3 linked regions of the Notamacropus eugenii genome follow. The protein of the gene in region 3 interacts with the protein of the main gene of each other region in a pairwise test. Links are inferred from orthologs where the notes say so. Each region holds a gene or a part of one and is shown on either strand. Other genes may lie near its edges.

Region 1 (7,107 bases), on a different chromosome or scaffold from region 3:
CCCGGCTGTCCCCAAGTCCTAGCAGGGGTGGGGAACCTGCGGCCCCAGGGGCCTTCTAAATCCCTGAGTGCGGCCTCTGGACCGAATCCAGATTTTACGGAACAAAATTTGGATTCGGTCCAAAAGCCGCACTCAAGGATTTAGAAGGCCTCCTGTGGCCTTGAAGTCGCAGGTTCCCCACCCCCCTCCCTAAAAGCCCGCCGACCCCGGAAGCGGGAGCCCCGCCCACGCCATCCCGTGCTCCCCCCGGGCTTTGCGGGGTTCTCCGCCGGCCCCTTCCCCGGCCTTCCGTTACCCGGAGCCGCGGAAGCCCTCCCCCCCGCCCCCCAGTTATACCTCCGGGCGGGGACTCGAGCTCTCCGCCAGCAGGGAACGCACCGCCACCTCCGCGCCCGAACACCAGCCTCAAGGCGATTGGGCGGGGCCTGGCACGGCCGCCAATCACAAGTCAGCGTTCGCAGCGAGTGTACAAGCCCTATTAGGATTGGCCGCCTTGCGGCCAAGAATTGGAAATTGAGGGGATGCCCGTGCGAGGGGAATGAGTGAGCTGGAGGTCTGGGAGGTCTAGGACTGCCCTGGACTACGGCTGCGCCTCAGGAAACGGTGCGCAGGCGGCTCCCCGGAAAAGCTGGCGGGCCCCAGGTGGCCTGGTGCGGCGTGCAGCCCCAGCCCCGCGCTGACCGCGCCTAGGCCTGGCCCTTCTCCGCGGCGGCGATGCAGGGCAGCGCCGAGACTCCTGACAGAGCCGGGGAGCCTGAATGCAGGAAGCGCGCTGGCCTGGGTTTTTCTTTCAGTTTTTCTCATTCTTCTTTCACAACATGGGAGGGGGGAGAGAAGAGGGAGGGGAAAAGTTGGAACTCAAAATCTTATAAAAATGTTGAAAACTATATATGCAATTGGAAAAATTAAACACTACTAAGTGGGGGAAAATAAAATTAAAAATTAGAAAATGAAGATTGGCCGCCACCAGGGTTTGACAAGCGTCCGGGGGGGAAAAGCACTGACTGCTCGTGACCATTTAAGAGAAGGGGCAGCAAGACAAGTTCTCGCCAAGTCAGAGGCAGGGTAGGGCTGGGACGGGTGTCCTCTGGGGGGCCACAAGTAGCGGAGAAACTCTGGCCCTACCGCCAAGTCTTGCATTCATCAACCTTGAAACAGCCGTAAGAAGAGTTACTGCTGTGGCTGATGTTTGCCCTGTCATTAACAGCAGAGGAACCTTGAGGAACGTCTTTACAAGGAGCTGCCAACACCAAGACGCGAAATGCTAGGAGTGCTACATGAGACATACAAACCGTCGTGTTTAGTCCTGTCCAGCTCTTGGTGACCCCATTTGGGGTTTTCTTGGCAAAGATACTGGAGCGGTTCGCCGTGTCCTTCTCCAGCTTATTTGACAGATGAGGAAACTGAGGCAAATGGGGTAAAACATTTGGCCTTGATTACGGTCATACAGGTATTGTGTCTGGGGCCAGATTTGAACTCAGGAAGATGAGTCTTCCTGACTCCAAGTCTGTCACTCTTTCCACTGCAACACCTAGCTGCCCTTAACCAACCAACGATAGAGAAAAAAACGTGGGGGTAATAAGTTTTTGAAAAATAAATTTATTGCAGCCCTTTATCCAAGTTATCAGTCAATCCTAGCCCCCTACCTCTTGGTCAGTCTGGCCACCCTCGGCACATGCCCTGGTATGTGTAGGGCGAAAACAAGGAGCTCCATGAGAGGTAAGGCAAGTTCCAAATTTAGGGCAGGGAGACAGCCTAAAAAGAGGCCCTTCTGGTTGAAAAGGGAGGGCCCTTCCCCCAGAGTGCCAGCCCTTAATAATTTTAAAATAAATCAGAGTAGTCAAGTCAGAGCAGAGCTTGTGACATCAGAGGGGAATAATGTAGTCAATGGCTCCCAGTCTTGCCCTCAATGAGGAGATCCCACTACTCCTATGGGAGGTTCCTGCATGGGTTGGGCAGGGAGAAAGTCAGGAGCACAGCAATAAAAGAACAATCTCCTTTTATTAAACATGATTTTCTGTTTCACCACACACTCCAGAAAAAAAGGAAATGGGGCTGGGAGTGGAGAAAAATAGGATGGGGAGGGAGGGACAGAGAAGGCTGTGAATGGAATTGGGGCATAGAACAAGAAAAAAAAATAACCAGAGGTAGGGCAAGTCTGCCACCCTTGGAAGGGTGGATGGGGAGCACGGAAGAGGGGAGGGCCAGGAAGCTTTGTACAGAGGAATCACCCCCCAGCCCACACACACACACACACACACCCTGGATATGTACAGTACAAACCCCAGATAATTACAACAGCCAAAGACGGGAGAGGAAACGGGCACTGAAGTGGGGCCTAAAGTTGGGGAGAGCAAAGGAGAGAAGGGCACAGGGGATAAAATTTCACATATTTACAACTTCTATATACTATAAATTCGGCCCCGGCTGGGTATGTGAGGAGAGTGGAATTGTGGGAGAACTGTCCATACAAAAGAATAATATGGGTAGATGGGGTAGGGCAGTAGGGCCAGGGCCCCAATACCAAACGAAAGAAGAAAAGAGCAAGGCAGGGAGAGGGGATGGCAGTCAGGGGAAGGGGATACCAAAGAGGGGGTGGTTCCCTCCTCCCCCATGGCCCACCTCCCCCAAACCTCATCCATCCTACCTTTTCCATCCCACCAAAGAGCTATGTACAGAGAGAAACACCGAAAAATTGTGGAGCTGGCGGTAAGAGAATGGGAGAGGGAGCAGCGGGGAGGGGAAGAGGGAAGCCCAGCCCTGTCCCACCTCCCAAGGGGACAGAGACACGGAAGGGGGCCCCCTACACCACCCCACTCTCGGGGGAGAGAGACATGGCTTTTCCTAGATTAAGTTCCCCCCTCCCCCTGGGAGTAGAGACCAAGGGGAGGGAGAGAGAGCAGGAGGGAGGGAGCAGGAGAGAATTAGGGGAGGCAGATAAATTGGTGTCCCCATAAACACACACCACCCTCGTAAACCCCAACCTCTCCCTGTTGCCTCATTTCTCCCACCCACCCACCCAACACACCAGGGGAGGCTGGGGCATAAGACCCCTCACCCCGCTCTGGGACCAGCCAAGAGCAGATCAGGTGTGGGAGGAAGGGGAGAAGACTCCCATCCCCCCTGCCCAACCCCTCCTTCCCTGCCCCTAGTGGCCCCCTCCTCCCCATCTAGGGTCAAGGTGGGAGGGAGTGAGTTTAAGAAGAATGGTGGAAGGAGAAGGAGTTTGTGCGTGCTGAGCCCCCCCAGGCGCTCCTGAGAAATCAAAGGGGAGTAGGGCCCCCATCTGGGGACCCCTCCCCATAACGAGGGGGGCAGGGGAGGCCAAAATGGGGGGACGGGGAGAGTTAGATTGTCGGCTCTGGTTACAGCTAAAAAATCACCCTGAAGTCGAGAGTTTGGAGGTGTCACACCCCCCAAGATGGGAGTGGGAACTGTCCCCCGGTGCTCAGGGGAGTGGGAATGAGGCAGAAAATGGGGATAGCACCCCAGAGTGGAAGGGAGATGTATGAGAGGTGAGGGCCCTCAAAGGAGTGCCCTGGGGAGACATACAGGAGGCATTGCCCCAGCAGAAAGGGAAGGAGAGTTTGAAGGTCCCCAGCCCCTTCCCCAGAAGAATGGAGGGTAGGGGTGGGAGTCATTCCCACAGAGAAGTCAGTCCTTTGGTCCCTCGGCGACATCTGGTCTCTGGCAGGCGGTGGTCCAGGGTTGGAGATGGTAGTGGTAGGGTTGAGAGATGTCAATGAGGCTGGGTGGACTAGTGGTCCGTGGTGTTTCGGAACTCGCCGTTCTCTGTGATCTGCAGCCGGGGCGGGGGTGGTGGGGGTGGGGGAGCCAGGCCATTCCAGGGGGGAGCCAGCGTCACACGCGGGTTTGCTGGACCCAGGGTGGGAAGCTGCCTCTCCTGCAAGACACCAAAGAGGGAGAGCGCGGACTTATTGAGACGCTTCAAGGGATCCTCATTTCTGTCCCCACCAACCAACCTTACCCAACAACCATGACTTCCACCCCAACCCCAGGACTCACCCTCTTGTTCCTCCCTCAGCCCAACCCATACATCACATTTCTCACCTTCATCAAAGAAGTTGCATCCTCTGGGGGTACAGAAAGGGGGAGAGGAAGGTATTATCCTTTCCTCCAGACCCACATCCCATTATACAAGTTGAGGGCACTTAAACTGAGGAGTCAAACCAAGAAACTAGCTCGAGGAATAAAGGACCCTATGAAATCTAGACACCTAGAAGGCACAGAATGACCTTTCTATAGAAGATCTAGATCTAGAGACCAGACAAAACTGAATTCAAATCCTACCTCAGACACTTACTAGCTATGTGACACTGGGCAAGTCATTTTATATCTAGGCCTGCCTCAGTTTCCTCATTTGTAAAACAGGACTAATAATAGCATCTACTTCCCAAGGTAGTTGTGAGAATTAAGATAATATTTGTAAAGCCCCTTTGCAAGCCTTAAAGTATTATGCAAATGCTAGTTATTTTCTAATCCTGCCTCCTCCACAACTAACCTAACCTTCTCTTCTCTCCTCACCTGAATACTCATATCTTTGCCTGAATACATTCTGAACTGCGGTAGGAATTTTGTGACTAGGAGCAGTATTGGGGGGCTATACAAAAAATCTCATTAATCTGGACCCCTACTGATTTAGAATTTGTGATAACATGAACAAAGAATGGACTGAAGTTTACTTTTTTCCATGAAGAAAGGGTGTACTGAGCAAATTAATGGCAGAAATGCAACTGCAGGGGAGACATTTAACCTATACAAAAGAACAAACTTTTCTTTCTTGCGTATTCATTAAATCAGATTTCCTAAGGGCCTCAATTAGGAAACACTGTTAGCTTAGTTCGTTATTGTATGTATTTTAAAATAAAAACTCCATTTCTTTTAAATACTCGATCATTCAGATGTCTTTTATTGAAGACCAGCCTTCCCCCAATTATAATATATTCCAAATTAGGGAGGTTTGCCCACGGGAAGAGAAGGTTTGAGGAGTACAGTCCTATTGAGAGGAAATGTTATTAAAATAATAGGAAAGAGTGGCTTTCTCCCCCTCATTCTTACATCAGAAATGACTAGGGGCCAGGGCAGTAACTCCTTCCCCTCCAATCTCTACTGTTCCAGAAATCTGAATAGGTCTCACCTTTTCTTAAGCCCATCTTTCCTTCAGTTATTCTGTTTAACCTTAAAAACGAAGAAGGGTAGAGGCTAGACATGTGATTTCACTGGTGTAGGGGAACTACGGGGTGAAGAACCTCTCCTTAGCTTACTAAGAGGTCAAGGAACTTACACAGAATCAAAGACAGTCAGTCAGGTGTTGGAGGCAGGACTCGAACCCAGGTCTTCCTGCCTTTGAGGCCTGCTCTCTAACTACACTGTCAGTCAAAGTGGGGGCACCTAACTCCCAGTCTTGCTCTTATCCTACTGCTTCTATTTCTTCTGTTGGAAAGGAATGAAAGAAGTATCTAAAATTCCTCTTCTCAGGCTTTTCCCTAATGCAAACACAAAACAATTCACTTTTAACAGCAAGAAAACAGAACCCTAGATAATCCAAACACTGTGGTCCAGAATAAACCTCAAATTATTTATGGCTGGCTTTGCAGAGTATGACTTGAAATATGAAGTTTATCTGACTACTCCCTGAGGAATCATAAAATTGAAGTGAAGGTATAATTTATCCCTCCTTCTACCCAGAGATCAGTTCCCCTTCCTCTACCCTAGGAGCAAATAGCTCACCTCTCACAAGGACACCAATCCCTCATCCTAAACTGAGTTGCCCTCTCTCTCAACTTGTGATGTGTCTAGCATACAGTTTTTGTATTTTTCTTGGAGAGTTGTCAGAAGAGAAGTGAATTTAGGGAATCCTGGGTGTGGGGAGTGGGGCAGGGAGGAAGGGAATTCAAACCCCATCTTTCCTCTGGAGATTCAGCTGGAAACAGCCTACAGGCATGCCCCCTATACACTTCCATACACCCAAATTTGGAAAGTAGATAAATTAGGTTATAATTTGATTATTCATTTTATAAACCATTACAAGTTTCCTTTAAATGTTGAGGTCCTATTTTGCATTTATTTATCAGGAACCATAACTGAGAGAAAAGGTGAGCTGACAGATAAAGTTAAAATAACAATTTAAGAACCTCACTCTCTATTGCAGAATAAGAAATAAAAATAAAATGTCTTAATAATTATCAGGAGGCCAGAAGTTAACAAGATAGGTTCCCACTAATTTTCATAGAATCACAGATTCAGAGCTGGAAAGCCATCTTAGAACTAAATGAACTTAGAAATTCATTTACTTTAACTCCCTTGTTTTATAGATGAGGAACCTGAAACCCAGAGTGGAGAAGCAACTTGCCCAAAATCACACAGGAAATTAAGCAGCAGAGATGGGTTTTAAACGCAGGTCCTCTGACTCCAGATCCATCACTCTTCTGTGGCTTTTTAGGTGCAGGACTCATTTGTCTCTTACACAAAGTCCACAGCCTAGGGAGTGGTGCACTGCAGGGCTACCAATCAGAAAAGGCAGCATGTGCTAGGCAAAAGTGGGAGGGGGTTTTTACATGGTTTTCAGGTTTTATCCATCAGGAATCTCTAGGAATGAGACTCCTGGATCTCATAAGGACATTTTTCCTGTCTACAAAGACAAGTCTATCTGAGTACTCCAGGATCTGTAAGTGATTTCATGTCCAGACATTTATCTGTATGTACAGCCCTTTCAAAACAACTTTTAGGAACGTTCTCAGAACTTCCCTTCCCCCTCAAGTCCCATTCATTCCTTCTTCTCTAGTCAGGATAATGCTCCAGTATTACTTGAACTCTCCCTGATTTAACTACTATTTCTAACACTCCACTTCCACTGGGAAATCAAGTCATAAGCCTCAGATGCCTTCCACCCCTCACACTGAAGAAAGGAAGGGAAGAGGAAAAACAGAGAAAGGAGAGGAAAGAAGTGAGGGAGAAAGAAAAAGGTCTGGAAAGAAACACATAGAAAAGGTAAAGAGAGAAAATTCCCCCACCCCTTACACACCTACCTGCTGCAATCGACATGGTCCCTATGACGAAGGAACCAGTAACCCATCAGCCCTAGCC
Region 2 (7,926 bases), about 270 Mb from region 3:
AGCCTTCACTTATCAGCTCTACCACACTACCTTTCTTTCAATTCATTAAACATTTATTAAGTACCCTTGAATACTGAGCACATAGCTAGACACATACGAGAGAGACACAAAGTTTGGAAGAAGAGAGGTCCTACCCTCAGTGTAGCAGAAAGTTATGACATAGACAAAAGTATTTATACAACGAAATAATACATCGTTAAGTATATCTTGGCAATGGAAGCAAAGTGGTACATAAAGTGGGGAGTTGAAGGGGGAAATGAGATCATTTCTAACTGGGGAAGCTTAAGCAGAGATGCAGGAGGAGAGCTACAGAATTGTAAGGGAGCTTAATAAGGGTGCGGAGGATCAGGAAATCCCTTCATACTGCCCTCTCCGATGGCCAGCGCTTGGAGTTCTCAGGAGATTTTCAGTTAGCAGTGAGCCAGGTATCTCACATCAAGGTATCAATCACAAAGGTATTCTTGAGAAAAGAAAATGTGGACCAAAGAGTCTGGTGAGTACATAAAAGATTTTCCAGAGCTTCAATGACCTCAGAGCAAAAGGAAATTGGTTGCCTTTCCCAACCCACCTCCACCTGAGTCCAAAGCCAGGATAATCACAGACAGAGACACATAAAATCTTAAAAATTACTTTGTGTGTTCTGCTGGTTTTACAGATGAGGAAAAGTGAAAGACTTGCCCAAAGTCACACAGCTAGTTTACGGCCAAGCCTGGAGTAGAATCAAAATCTTTTGCCCTCTTATTCCCCACCCCCTCACTTCTACTGCTAGGTCCTCACCTTGGCTTCCCAGTGCCACCAAGGGTTTCCTGCCCACAGAAGAAGATGAGCAATTAATTCTATTTCTCTTGGAATCCCATCTCACTAGAGCAATATGTTATAGAGCTGCTAGACCCCCTGGGAAGCCCAGCCTGGAAGGCTCAGGATATGGGAAATAAGGAGAGCCAGCCAAAGAAAGAAAAGCTATGTCTTTATTCCAGGGTTAACTTATTATGGGAATACTGGTAGATGAGGTTGCACACCTTCCCACAAAGGAATTTCAGAAACCAGTCTCTCCGCCGCCGGCTTCAACCTGTAGGCCCCTAAAACAGGGTTGCTGTGAGAGGAGCGATCTGTTGCCACTGTAAGGCCTGCACGCCCTCCTCTAGCTTCTGTCTGTTTCCTAGCAGGTGCTTCAGCCGGCCTCCAGGCACCCGGTAGAACCTCACCCAAAAGCCACTGGCACTCTGTCCAAAATCCTCCCCTCCCTGATGTCCACGACTTCCCAGAGGAAGCACGGGAGTGGAAGACAAGGAATGAGACCTTGTAAGGAGTAAATTGAGCAAAAGAGCAAACCTCATGGAAGGACTTCACACATACATACACACACACACACACACACACACACACACACACACACACACACAATCACATCCTTTCTAGCTGGTCTCAGTGGAAGGGGCTAAAGAGTACGAGCTTAAGGATTCAGCCTCAGGGTATGGGGGAGGGGTGCTCAGAACCCTGCAGGTTCTCCCCCACCTCGGCTAGCACTTACACCCAACACACCCCAGCTCGCAGCCTCTTCTTCCTTCGCCCTCAACCGGCCTCCCCGCCCCCGCCGCCCCAGGAGAATGGGCGGGCCTTCTTTGGGCATCTCCACCCAAACCCCTGCCGGCTTCTGGAGATGCAGAAGCCAGCAAAGCGGTGTGCCAGCACATGGCCGGGACAGCCCGGCGGGTGGAGTGCCGCCCCTAAACCCCAGCCCCCAGCCCCACCCCGACTCGACATGTGCAGGATCCTCTCCGAAAAGGCGCTGAGCGCTGGGGAAGTCCAGCGGCAGCCCTAGCCCCCGGAGCCTCCCGACTGCACCGCCGCAGCAGCTACGGGCAGGGGAGCTGGGCAAGCCGGGGCCGCCGCGGGGGGTCGGCTTCTTGCCACTGAACGACCCCCTCCCCCAACCCCCTCCAGTTCCAGCCCTCGGTCCTCCCCTTAGCGAAATGCGTCACGTCTGCATGCTGCTAGGGAGGCACCTGCACCCGCCCCCGCCGCCCCCACGCCCCTAATAAGCCCCGGGCGCCCGGAGTGGAGCTGCCAGGGCTGGAGAGGGAGAGAGACAGCGGGGGAGGGGCAGTGAAGAAACAGGGCACCCAGAAGACTGTGGCCATGCTACCGCCACTGTCACCGCAGCAGCCGTACCCAAGGAGCCACGCTGTCCGCCTGGCCCTGGGACGCCCGGCGCCGGAGAGCTCGCAAAGAACTGGGAGGTGCACGGGGTCCGCAATGCGCCCCCCGCCCCTGGCACATAGACACCCCCGCGTCCCTGGTCCTCCCCCCCGCCCCGACACACACACACACACACACACACACCACAGCGATACATGCAAGCACGCACAGACATTTGCAGACAGACACTGGGCGCTTCCTCGCGGGGGAGGGGGGAAGGGGGGCACTGAAGGCATGGGCTTCCTCCTCCCGCAGGGCTGGCGCAGCCCCCCACAGCCGGACTCACCTACATGGCCCTAGCCCAGCCTTCTCCTCCCCGCGGCTCCCCCTGCAGCCCTCCCCCAGCGCGGTGCCGCCTGGATCCTTACTTGCCGATATCTTCGTAGAGCTGGTACTCGTCGGTAAAGCGGGTGCAGGTCACGGTCGTGGCCATCGCTGCGGCCGCGGAGAGGGCTCTGCGAGCTGCCGCTTCCCCTGCTGCACGCTCTGGGCTCAGGCTATCGGCGGCGGCGGTGGCGGCGCAGGGCTCCCGGGGAGGCGCGGTGTAGCCGTCAAGCTGATCGGGCTCGGGCTCGGGCTCGAACTCGGACTCGGACTCGGACTCAGGCTCGGTCTCGGGCTCCGGCTTAGCCCCGCAGCGGCGGCGGCGGCGGCGGCGGCGGCAGAAGCAGCAGCAGCAGCAGCGCGGGCAGAGAGTGACACCTCCGCTCCAGGCGGGGGGCCGGAGGCTGGGGGGCTGGCTCTGGGCAGCGCAACGCGAGATCTGCTCACTGCGTGTGTGCCACACACCTACACGCGGGAGGAGGCGCGGGGCTCTGCCGCACACGCCGTGGACCGGCCCCTCCCTCTCCCTTGCGCGGCACCCCCCCACACACACAGACACCACGCACGCGGGGACCCGCACACAGCACAGCGTGGACCCACCCCACTCCTCCTCCCTGCGGAACACACACGCGGGGAAATGCTCCCAGCGCGGACCCACCCCTCCCTCTGCCCTGCCGGCAGGACCCTCCCCCCCACCCACAGTCACCCTCGAGGAGGCCAGCACCCCCGTGGATATGTAGTTCCACTGCACACTCGTGGGCGGACCCTCAACCCCCCCACCCCACCCCTTCTCCACACTGCACAACACCCTTCACACTCACACCCGAAAACTGAACGCCAAGTTAACCAATCCGACCCCTTCTCCCTTCAGGACACCCACGACTGCAGACAGGGTAGGTGACCCAACTCCGATGCCTGGAACACCTAGAAACCCTTTCTCTAAGGCTGAGGCAGGAGATTTGGTTTTGAACATAGACTATAAAGGCAGGGTGGAGTAGGGCAGAGCCCCTGGGGAGGGGCAGCAGCAGGGTTGTGAGGAGGTGGGAAAGCTGCCCCCTTATTTAACTCATCCCCTCAAACAAACTGGAACCCCGAAGGAGAAGGTAGAGTCCTTCCACCAACTGGATCCCTGGGACCACAGCTCCTGATTTTAGCCACCCTCCTAATCCTACCCACTCCTATCCACCCCCACTCACCCCCTACAAATGGTAGTTCTGAGCAAACGCAGCTCTGAGGCAAGATAGAGGGGGCAGGAGGTTAAGCTAATAAAAAGCAGACAGTCTCTTCCTACCAGCCACCATCAGGCATCTCTGGGTAGCTCTAACCTTATGGTCATCCTTGCTCTAGAGAGGGGACATTTCCTCCCCCTTCTACCAGGGCCCTTTGCCCACCCACCTGCCCACTCTTCAACGCCTGGAAGAGGATATATTTCCCCAACTGGAAGGGAGGCCCTGGACCCAGATTGCAGGCATCAGTCCCTCACTGCAAGGTGCCAGAGCTGTTGCTATGGGCAGCAACAGGGAGGAGGAGATAAGGATGCTGAGGAGGGGGAGGGAGGGAGTGGAAGAAAAACTGACCCGGTTTCACAAACAAGAAACCATTACTTCAGGGTCAGGTGCTGGATCTCTGATTCCCCAAGCTTCATATCTAGAAATTATGAGCAAGGAGGTGTCTGGCTGCACCTACCAGGATGGAACATAGTCTCAGTTCACAGAAGGATAGCCAGGAGGGTCTCCAGGGGCCATCTGGTCCAATCCCCTTATTTTGCATGTTAGGAAACCAAGGCCCACAGAGGTTAAGGTCACCCTAGTAGTGTCAAAGGAAGAATAGGAACCTGGATACTCTGACCGAATAACCATTGCTTATTCCCCTGATGCCTGATGGCAATGCCTTCAGTACCTTCCTTTAGGTTAGAATAGAGGAGGTGGTCGTCCGGGTTAGAGTCTGCTTATTGGAGAGTGTTGAACACTCGCTGTTGGAGCCAAAAGAGAGAACTACCAACGCTCATCTCAGTACAGCATAAGGAATTCTGGGTTTGAGGTCACGGGTCCAGAGTTTAAATCCTGGTTTTCTTCTTTAATACTTCTGTGACCTTGGTGAAGTCTTCACTTCTCAGACTTACTTTCCTTATCTGTAAAATGAGGGGGTTAGGGTAAATGATCTCTAAAGTCCCATTCAGCCCTAAATCTATGATCCTATAGCCTACGAAGCCTGGTTTCATCTGGCACTACTAATCTCCTCCTGAATCTAAACTGCATTCATGGTTATTCCTCTGAAGGGCCTCACTGCCCTGCTCCCAGAAAACAGGACCTCCTCAGGTTGGCATAATGAGATGAAATGACAGAATGCAAGAGACAAAACCCTGGCATCCATCTCCTGGCATCTTCTCTTCAATTGCTGCCAGTTGAACTCCTAGTCAGGCCTCCACCTTCCAGATGCCAGTGGTTGGTCCTTCCCAGGCAGAGGCCCCTTTATCTCCCCCCTTCCAGGGCCTCCAGTGCCAGTCTGTCCCAAGACAGGACCCCCTTCCACCTCCCCCCCAACCCCCAGGGCAATAACACAGGCAAAACAGTGCACTCCCATCCCTCCTCCAATCTTTGCCTGTTAGAAGAACCTCCTGGAACTTCACAGAAGACAGTATCACTACCTGCCATGAAACTGGATTGAACCCTGGGCAAGTCACTTGACCTTTGCCTGACTCAGTTTCCTGAACTGTAAAATGGGAATAATAATAACACCTATCTTGAAGGGTTGCTGTGAGGATCAAATAAGATAATATTTGTAAAGTGCTTAGCACAGTGCCTGCCACATAATAGGCACTTTACAAATGCTACTTATTATTATTATAATTATTATTAACAAAGAATGACTGGAGCCTTCTGTGTTGCCTAAAAATACATCCATATTTCTCTCATGCTTAAAAAAACCTCATCTGATCCTACCATATCCTACAATTGTCCTAGATCTCTTCTTGGCTAAACTCTTTGAGAAAGCTGTCTACACTCTCTCTTCTCTCACTCTCCTCTCCAATCTGACTTCTGACCTCATCATTCAATGAACACTTGACTGGACAAAGTTACTAGTGACCTCTTAACTGACAAATCCAATGGCCTTTTCTCAATCTTCATCTTCCTTGAACTCTCTGAAATCCTTGACACTGTTGATCATGCACTCGCTTCTCTGGCCTTTCATGATATGACTGTCTCCCAGTTCTCTTCCTTGCTACCTCTCTAACCAGTCATTTGCAGATTTCTCATCCTTGTTATAACCACCAACCATGGCTGTCCCCCAAGGCTCTGTCCTGAAACCACTTCTCTTTTCTCTCTATACTATCTTACTTGGTGATCTCATCAACTCCCATGGGTTTGGTTATCATCTCTATGCAGATGATTCCTAGGACTACATAATAACCTTAGTCGCACTTCTGAGTTCACATGATGTATTATCAACTGATGCATTTTTAACATCTAGAACCAGATATCCTGGAGGGAACTCAAAATCAACATGTTCAAAACAAAATTTGTTCTCTTTCCCCCAAACCAGTCCTTCTCTCCATCTCTTGAGCATCCCCATTGTTGTCAACTATACTCACCATCCTTCTAATCACCCAGATTCCCCACCTCAGTATCATCCTTGACTTTGACACTCTCACTCAACTTACATCTCCAATCCATTGCCAGAGAGTGTTGCTTCAACCTTCACAATATATATCACATATAACTCCCCTCCTTTCTACTCACACAATCTCCACCATAGTTCAGTCACTCATCAACTCTCTCCTAGATTATTGCCTCTAACTGGCATCCCTGCCTCAAGTCTTTTATTGCTCCTTAATCTTACTCCCTTCTCTCTGAGAATGTCCCTAACGTGTCCTGTATGTGGCTTGTTTGTCTGGGAAGCTGAGTGGCATTGTGGACAAAAAGGATGGCCTGGAGTCAGGGAGACCTGAGTTCAAATCCAGCCTTAGACACTTACTAGCTGTATGTCCCTGGGTTAGTCACTTAACCCTCATTTGTAGAATGAGCTGTAGAAGGAGATGTCAGGCCACTCCAGCATCTCTGCCAAGAAAACCCCAAATGGGGTCACGGAGAATCAGACATGGCTGAACAAGAGCAGCAGCAAATAGCTTGTCTGTACATAGTTGTTTGTATGTTGTCTCCACCATTAGACTTGAGAGCAGGGATTTTTTTCCTTTGTATCTCCAGGGCTCAGAAGGGGTTTAACAAATGCTAGTTGACTAAGTGGGCAGCTAGGTGGTGCAGTAGATAGAGCACCAGTGCAAGAGTCAGGAGGACCTGAGTTCAAATCTCACCTCGGACACTTGGCACACACTAGCTGTGTGACCTTGGGCAAGTCACTTCACCTCAGTTGCCTCATCCTGGGTCATCTCCAGTCATCCTGATGAATATCTGATCACTGGATGGATCTGGAAGAGAAGTGAGGCTGGTGACCTGCACAGCTCTCCCTCACTCAAAACAAAGTCAAGCGCAGGTCATGTCATCATTTCTCTGAGGGCATGGTCTTCTTTGGCAACAAAGGACGAACACAGGTGACTAAGTGGCTGAATGATCCACTGATACCAGTCTGCTTGTTTCTTAACTGTGAAATCCCATCTCCCATCTTGACATCTTTGTCATCTCTGACTCCTGGCGTCTCTGGGTTCCTTCTTCTTTCTAGGGGAGGCCTTTCCTGGCTTCCAGAGCTGCTATCGCCCTCTCTATACGATGACCTTCTATCTTCACTGTCTATACATTGCGTGTATCTAATGATTTCCCTGTTGCCTCCTTCATTAGCATGTATGCTCCTTCAAGGAATAGTTTACCTGTCTGATCTATGGAGAAGGGAAGAATTTATAACCAAACAGAAGATAGAGAATATTATGCAATGCAAAGTGGATAATTTTAATTACATTAAATTAGAAAGGTTTTGCACAAACAAAACTAATGCAAACAAGATTAGAAGGGAAGCAGAAAGCTGGGAAACAATTTTTACAGTCAGTGTCTCTGATAAAGGCTTCATTTCTAAAATATATAGAGCTGAGTGAGCAGAAGCAGGAGAACACTGTACACAGTAACAACGGTATATGATGACCAACTTTGATAGACTTAGCTCTTCTCAGCAATACAAGGATGTAAGACAACTTCAAAAGACTCATGATGGAAAATGCTGTCCACATCCAGAGAAAGAACTATGTAGCCTGAATGCAGATAAAAGCATACTCTTCTTTCTTTTCCTTTCTCATGGTTTTTCCCTTTTGTTCCAATTCTTCTATCACGAAATGACTGATGTGGAAATATGTTTAATATGATTGTACATATATAGTCCATATCAAACTGCATGCCATCTTGGGGAGGAAGGGGGACAACTTAAAAGTGAACGTTGAAAACTAAAAATTAATTAAGA
Region 3 (7,580 bases):
AAAATAATATGATCTTTTATATTACTAGTTCCAGGGAAAATACAAACTTTTTATTTTACTTTAAAGAATTATGAAAATTTATAAGTCTCATGTTTTAGAAAATTGATTTTTGTTAGTAATATATTGTCCATCTTCATATTAAAAGATGCTACTTTCCCCTCACAATATTCTTGTAAATTATCTCATTGTAAACTAATCGATCATACTTTCTCAAAAAAAATTTGCTCTGAGATTCATTTATGAGAGGAGTTTATGATTACAAATGACAAATCGAAACCATTCTGTCTGGCTTTCAAAACCTTCTGCAGTCTGGTCCTGATGCCTGTTCAAATACTGAAGTAATGATAGTACATAAATCCTACAATTCAATTTGAAATACTTAATTGAAATTAATGTGCATTCAATTCAAATATCTATATCCTACAATTCAATGCAAAAATGCTGAGTTGACTGAAAAGACTCTCATGAAATGATACTGAATGAAGTAAGTAGAACCAGGAGAACACTGTACACAGTAACAGCAACATTGTTTGATGACCAACTTCAGAAGGCTTAGCTCTTCACAACAATGCAATGATCTAAAACAATTCCAAAGGACTCAAGATGGAAAATGCTATCTACATCCAGAGAAAGAACTATAGAGTGTGAAAGCAGACTGAAGCATACTATTTTCTCTTTTGTATTTTTCTTCCTCATGGATTTTCCCTTTTGTTCTGATTCTTCTTTCACAACATGACAAATGTGGAAATGTTTAATATGATTGTACATGTATAGCTTACATCAGATTGCATTCCATCTTGTGGAGGTTGGGGGAATGTAGAATTCAAAATTTCATAAAATTGAATGCTAAAAAATAAAAATATATAAATTTTTTAAAAAAAATGTTGAGTTGAATCCAGAATCCTTAATATGTAAATCCATGATTACACTAAAACTTACTCAACTCATTTCCCACACTTCCCACCACCTACACTCCCAACAGGCTAGTACTGTCATCACTCAAAGCAGAAGCAGTCCAAAACCAATGAAGAGTTTGAATACTGAATTCTTCATTTATTAGCTGTGTGGCCATAGGCTAGTCACTTCCCCTCTCCAAGTGTGTGATTTTCCTGATGTGTAAGAAAATACCAATGATAAGTGAGTCCTTTATAACAAGTTACCAGGGGGTGCACACCTGAGAGTGACTTTACCTATGAACACAGAGGTAGCGCCCCTGGACAAGAACCCAGGCCTTCCTGCCAGCAAAGTCATCCTCTCCGCCTGTAGTCTAAAAGCACAGGCATATTACTAATCACTGGGAACTAGGGATACAGGTACAATGAATGAAACAATGAATCCTCCAAGAAGCTTCACTTCTAATGAATGTTAAGGCAACACTGAAAGGATCTATCTCACAAAGACAGCACAGGGTAGCAGATACATAGGTGGCCTAGAAGGCAGGAAGACCTAGACTTTGGTGAAGTCCTGCCTCTAATACGTATTAGCTGGTTAACTCCAAGAAAGTCACTTAACCTCTCGGTGTTCTAAGTAACACCCTATAAATGAAGTTGCAGAGACAACACAGAACTAAAACTGGTAGTGGGAGTTTTGTTCCTTATCCCTTTGATCCCAGTACCAACTAAATCCTAAGTCCACTCCCATCCCTCATAGGGTGGCTATAAGGGAAAAAGATAGCAATTTTTAAAATTACATATTTAAAGAATATGTAAATGCAGCTGTTACTTAACCATTCTCTCACCCTCCACCGACCCTTCCTTCCCGGACCACTCCTGGGCCCACCTCCAGCATCACAGCACCTGCACTTCGGGTATACATGCAGCCCACAGCTAAGTGTTAGTCTCCTTTTCCCAACCACGGCCTGCCCACAGCTCAAAGGCACTGGTGCGGAATGCCAGCACATTCTCAAATGTTGGCTGGGAAAGGAAAAGTTCCTTAAGATAACATATAAAAACGAATTCTGCCACGGAAGCAAGGTTGCCTAGGATCCTATGCTACGTTGAAGCAAACCTCCGTCCTGGACGGTAACGTCAGGGATGACGTAACTGTCTAACGTATAGCAAAAGGGTAAACCGAGGAGCTGCACCGCACGGTTTCCACGGTAGAGAACAAGCGCACTTTCCAAGGCGATGCCATCTCTCTGACGCCAGGGCCCCAGCCGCAGCACAAGAGCGCCCCCGCCATCAGGCCCTGTCTCTGGCGGCCATGTTCCCGAGCGCCGGGAGGAAGGCGGCCCGAAACGCCCGGTAGGTCCCTCGGCCTCGGCCATGGTTCCCCGCCTGGGCCGAGCTCCGGGGCCGAGTTCCGGGCCTTCCTCCCCCTCCTGGGCAGATCCTCGGGACCCAGGCGGGGGGAGGGGCGGCTACCTGCTCACCTACCCGAGAGGCCCGACCCGGGGAACTACTCTCGGTGTCCTCATCTGTCAAATCCAAACCCTACCTCTCACCCTTCTGCGACCCTGCCCCGAACAGCTCGGGGAGTCAGCAGTCACGCGGTGTTCCCCTCTCTGGGCCTCAGTTTCCCCCTCTGTAAAAATGAAGGGCGCGACCCCGATCAGGGGCCCGGCAGCCTCCGGACCCCGGCCAGGAGCGCGCTTATAAACAACTGAAGGAAAAGCTACATTTCCGTGGGAGGGGCGGCCAACAAGCTCGGGTAACGACCACAAGGGGCGACGGCGCTCCGGGGACAAAGAGAAAGGCAGGACCGGCCCTCCGCCAGCAAACAAAGGCGCCGCCACATCGCGGCCCTCGGGGACTCGATCTAGCACCCCTCCCCCCCACCCCCCGGCTTCAGGTGCTCCGCGGTGACTTAGCGGAGCCTCCTCAGGCCCTCCCCCCGCCCCTCTATCGCGGCCTACCCGCCCCCACCGGGGCCCTCGGCCCGCACTCACCCTCCTGGAATTTGGGCTTCGGGTCCTGCTTCGGCGCCATTTATGAACGACTCTCCGCCTCCGCCTCCTGCTTCTCCGCCTCCTCCCCCCGCCGTCGTCGTCGTCGTCCTCGCCGCCGCCGCAGCCACCACCGCCCCGCACCACGCCCAGCCTAGCGTCACGCCCGGCTCCGCCCCCGGCCCGATTAGCCAGAAGCCCGCAGGCCGCGAAGCACCAAGAGCCGCGCGCGCACCCTTGGCCAAGGACTGCAGTGGGGGGACGGGCACGCGCACGTTTCGGCGCACGCGCAGGCCCGCCCCCGGGCCGCCCGAGGCATGCTGGGAGGGGAGTTGGCTGGCTTTTTTTCCCAGTACGTCACTCAATCCAGGAATGGCGAAGACCTTTTGTAAGTGCCCGGTACGTGCCGTGGGTGGGGCAGGAAACCGTCCCTGCCCTCGAGGAGCCACGGACTGATAGGAGAGATAACCTGCAGTTCTCCTTCTTTTGAGTTCCAGCTTCTCTCCTTGCCCCACCCGCATTTACTCAAGTGAAGTCGAGCAAAGCCCGCGTCTTAGCCAAAGAAGACAACTTGCCACAGAAAGGGTAGACTGGGGTCCTCTCTGAGTCAAAGCACGTTTGTTAATCCCCTACTCGGCCCTAGGCACCGTGCAGAGTGCTGAGGAGCTGTCAGCCGAACGGGGGAGAGCATACAAATACTTATCCACGTACGAGCAGGACGCATCCAGGATCAATTACAGATAATCTCGAAGTCCATGAGCGTGTATCAATCGCTTACCCTGTGCCAGGCACTGGGCAGTGCTGGGAATGCAAAAAAGGGGCAAAAATAGGCCCTGCCCCAAGTTACTCCCAGTCTGATGATGGAGGTAACTTCTCAATAGCAACTAGGGTTTTAGTTCATGAATCCCCCTGACTAGAAAGGAGCCGGAGCAGGATTTGAACCCACCTTACCCTTTAGAGCAAGCTGCGCCCAGGACTGTATAGGAAGCTGGGCATGTGGGGGTGATGAGATTCCATCGAACAAGCCTTTATTTGATGCTAGGAGATAGAGGGAGATGAGGCCAGAAGGACAGCCCAGGGGAATTCCTCCTAAGAAGTGGAAAGGAGGTGAAATCTCATTAGAAGCAGGAAGCTTGGCCAACTTGGTAATAGAAGACTTCATGAGCTGTGGAAGGAACTCTAGATTTGGAGTCTAAGACCCGAGGTTGCAGTCCCAGGGCTGCTTCCTAATAGTTGTGTGGTCCCCACTCAGGCATCTTGGTCTACTCTCAGGTTGTGCTCCTCCAAACTTTTCAAAGAAGACCATGACATTGGAGAAATGATGATATGACTTGCAGTTGACTTTGTTTTGAGTGAGGGAGGGCTGTGCAAGGGCACCAAGGTCACCTGCAGCTGTTGGAGTGGATGAAGAACCAAGGAAGGAAGGGAAATCCTTCCCAAGGAGAAGTATTTCCCATTGCTCAAGCACTTCGCTTACAATAATTTTGGAAGATGCTGCCATTTTATAACACCCAAGCTGATTTCAAGAGTAAAAGGACTGCAGCAAAGAAAAGGGCAGGAAAAGATGAGGGGACAGAAATTAGTTGGATTTGTCTGGGACTTAGAGCAACTGAGTCAAGTGAGATAAGATTAGACGCAAAACCAGCGTAAAGACACCTTGCAGTAGAATTAGAAGTGCATATTCCATAGGAAAATGAGGATCCAAACAAAGTTTTTAAATAATGGAGTGCCACAAGAAAATAAGCATTTATTAAGCACCTTCTGTGTGCCAGGGACTGTGTTAAGTACTTTTTACTCATTACATTTTACTCATTTGATCCTCACAACAATCCTAGGAGGTCAGTGCAGTCATTATCCCCATTTTACAGTAGAGAAAACTAAGGCAATCCAATGTTAAGTGACTTGCCCAGAGTCAGACACCTGATAAGGATCTGAAACTGGATTTGAACTCAGCTTTTCTTGATCCCATGCCTAGTGCTCTATCTTAGTGTTCTACCAGCTGCCAGAAATAATCAGATCGATTCTGTCTTTTTTTAATTGATCCTATTTACAATTAATTGATTTTGTCAGGTAACTTAGTAAGTCATGATTCTTTGTGTCTGAACGTAGTTCAGAAATTCATTTCTTCAATGAGGTAAGTTTAGAAATCCAATTCTCTTGTTAATCCCTGTTCTATTTTTTGTGTCTGGTTTGTAATAAATCTGGTCCATCATCTCTAACCTTGCAGGTGGACTCAAATAATGAACATTTCTTAGGCAGTGGAGGAAAGGAGGGGGTTTTTTTCTAGCCCCTTATTCCTATTTTCTAACCAACCATCACTTGTTCCCCACCTGAAAAGTCCTGTTCTTTGTTCTGTATTTCCCTAAAAACTATAAAAAAATGGTGACCATTCCCCACCTCGGTGTCTTAGCTTTGCTGGGGAAGCTGAGATCCTAATTATTGGTAAATTCACACTTTACTAATAAATTGATCTGGCTTGGAAATCTGTACTTCAGATTATTTTTATTATGTTTATTTTAAACATAACAACTGGCAACCACAAAGGAGCTGGGGATGGGAGACTAGTCCTTGGAGTAACTTCTTAGCCCCCTTCCCTCAGCCTTCCAAGAACCCTCAAGTGACATTTTCACCAGGGGGATTTCTCTGCAGAGAATTTGTCTAAAGACCTGACTGCCCATCTAGCCTCAGCCTCTCCAAGCCAAGGTAATCTCTCAACACTCTTGGGGAAGCTGTAGCTTGGTTTGTTTGCCTTGATGTCTGTGTTTTAAGTATTATTGTTTGGTAATAATTGACAGTTGGAAACTCAGGAAATTCCCCCCTACAGTACAACCCCATGGAGAAATTTTATTTTCTTTAGGGGAGATGCCAAGAAGTGATCAAAAGAGGTATATCAATGGTGCCCATTTAGGGAAGTCATAAAGTAAAGTCCCAGGCCACTCACTGCCCTGGGCAGGAAAGAGAGGTTAAGTCCCAGGCCTCTTGCTATAACTAGCAAGTAGGAAAATTGAAACCATTCTAAAGGAGTTGGGGCAGGACAATGTCACAAGTGACATTATTGGTAAGTGGAACAGCCGGTGGTCACAAAATTGACAAATGATTGATAAACCAGTAATGGACTCTTCCCAGTAAAAAGCGGCTAGCTACAATTAGAAGTCAGAAAGATTGTTAAATGATAAGGAATGTCTCTCCAGCCAACACCCAGGCACACCCTTACCCAAATTAGTCTATGATATATCAGAATCCGGAAGGGTCCCGTATTTGGCCTGAGAAGAGACTTTTCACCTATGCACACTATTTTTTTTTAAAGGAAACTTTGTCACTGGTGCTTATTATCATTGTGTGCACAGAGTTAAGAAGAAAAAACCCTGCTGGCAAATGCTTCTCTTTGTCTGGTAAAATAACTCTTTCTTGGGAAAACAAATGTGAACTTTTCTGAACACTTCTCTAAGTCTTCAAAAAGGCATTCGCTTTTTCTCTACATTTCTAAACTCTGGCCAAGTTTTGGCAGCACAGAGAGAAAAACATAAAAAGAAAAGGGAATAATTGCCTTCAGACCATATAATGTTATGACATCATAAACTAAGTAGAAACTGATTTTGTGAATAAAATGTAAGTTTTCCACTGTGAATTTTCAAATTGTGGATTGAATATTTTTATAAATGCTAAAATATTCTAGTGAATTTGGGGTTAACATTCTTTAGAATTTGTTTTGAAGAAATTAAGAACATAATTGTGAATGTTACATAAACTTTTTATCTCTCTTGCCCTGGAGAATGACAGATTTATTGTTTTACAGATAAGAGAAAAAGGTCATTTTGCTGCTTAGAAAGAAGCTAGTTTGAAAATAGTATCAGTGAATTTTCAAAGCAAAGGGGAAAAAAACAAGTTTGCCTTTTAAAATGGTATATTCAGTTTTCTGCCCTAGATGGCATGAGAAGGGTACAGGCAAATTTAGGAGCATCACCATAACTGTGCATGAGAGAAAGAACAAAGGAAGAGAAAATTTGAACCAGCATCTCCACCTGATCCCCAGAGGGTTCTACCACTGCAGTTTAAAGAAGAGGAACTCCGTTTGGGCTAATTTCAAAGGAAGTTTACAGTTTGAATTTTAAAAACTGTCTTGTGTTTTGCCCATGAAAAGAGAAACTTATTTAAAGGAGCAACTTGAAAATAAGTGAAATTTAATTTGAAAAAAATGCTTTATGTGGCTCCTATGAATAATATAACAGAATTTAATTTAAAAAGGTATTTGATAAGAAGGATATGAGAAATACTATGTGGTTATTCTTTAGTAACATTTTTGCAACATGAAATTATTTGAAGATAGTTTACGAAATTTAAAGGACCATGAGAAGAGTACATTTTAGTTTTTATGTGAAGAATATAGTCTTCATGGACCCTTAAAAGAGAGGATGATGATACAAGACTGCCTCTTTAAATCTTTGGCAGTAGACTAACTGGGAGTAGAGAGCCCTGTAATGTGAAGCACAGGGAAAGCATAGCCATTAGGAGAATTGAGATTTTGTGATTGTAAATCCAGACGTGGTGTGTTAAAGGTTTGCCCTGAAACTAAATTATAATGCAATTTGGTATTAAGGCAAAATGTCTGAAGAGCATGGATCAAGGAAAATAGGAGTTAAAAAATTCAACCTCTGTAAATTTGTTGGCTGTGTGATTTTAAGCAAGTAACTTTGTC

Evidence for each region.
Region 1: the proteins of MORF4L1 (region 3) and ZBTB9 interact in binary tests that used the Homo sapiens proteins (3 or more experiments, as listed by UniProt). The two-hybrid records come from large-scale screens. The link is inferred for Notamacropus eugenii from reciprocal best matches to the Homo sapiens genes MORF4L1 and ZBTB9.
Region 2: the proteins of MORF4L1 (region 3) and CAMK2B interact in binary tests that used the Homo sapiens proteins (3 or more experiments, as listed by UniProt). The two-hybrid records come from large-scale screens. The link is inferred for Notamacropus eugenii from reciprocal best matches to the Homo sapiens genes MORF4L1 and CAMK2B.

What each region holds. Positions count from the first base shown.
Region 1 is NC_092873.1:89,448,732-89,455,838, reverse strand, and holds the start of ZBTB9 (zinc finger and BTB domain-containing protein 9), read right to left. Parts: upstream 3,002-7,107; 5' UTR 1,293-3,001; intron 806-1,292; 5' UTR 337-805; intron 270-336; exon of another isoform or gene 1-269. Other genes in the region: SYNGAP1 (ras/Rap GTPase-activating protein SynGAP), read right to left, coding at 3,758-3,904. UniProt on the Homo sapiens protein: May be involved in transcriptional regulation.
Region 2 is NC_092872.1:522,555,674-522,563,599, forward strand, and holds the start of CAMK2B (calcium/calmodulin-dependent protein kinase type II subunit beta), read right to left. Parts: upstream 3,002-7,926; 5' UTR 2,633-3,001; coding exon 2,568-2,632; intron 1-2,567. UniProt on the Homo sapiens protein: Calcium/calmodulin-dependent protein kinase that functions autonomously after Ca(2+)/calmodulin-binding and autophosphorylation, and is involved in dendritic spine and synapse formation, neuronal plasticity and regulation of sarcoplasmic reticulum Ca(2+) transport in skeletal muscle.
Region 3 is NC_092872.1:254,625,547-254,633,126, forward strand, and holds the start of MORF4L1 (mortality factor 4-like protein 1), read right to left. Parts: upstream 3,011-7,580; 5' UTR 2,928-3,010; coding exon 2,888-2,927; intron 2,569-2,887; exon of another isoform or gene 2,437-2,568; intron 1-2,436. UniProt on the Homo sapiens protein: Component of the NuA4 histone acetyltransferase (HAT) complex which is involved in transcriptional activation of select genes principally by acetylation of nucleosomal histones H4 and H2A.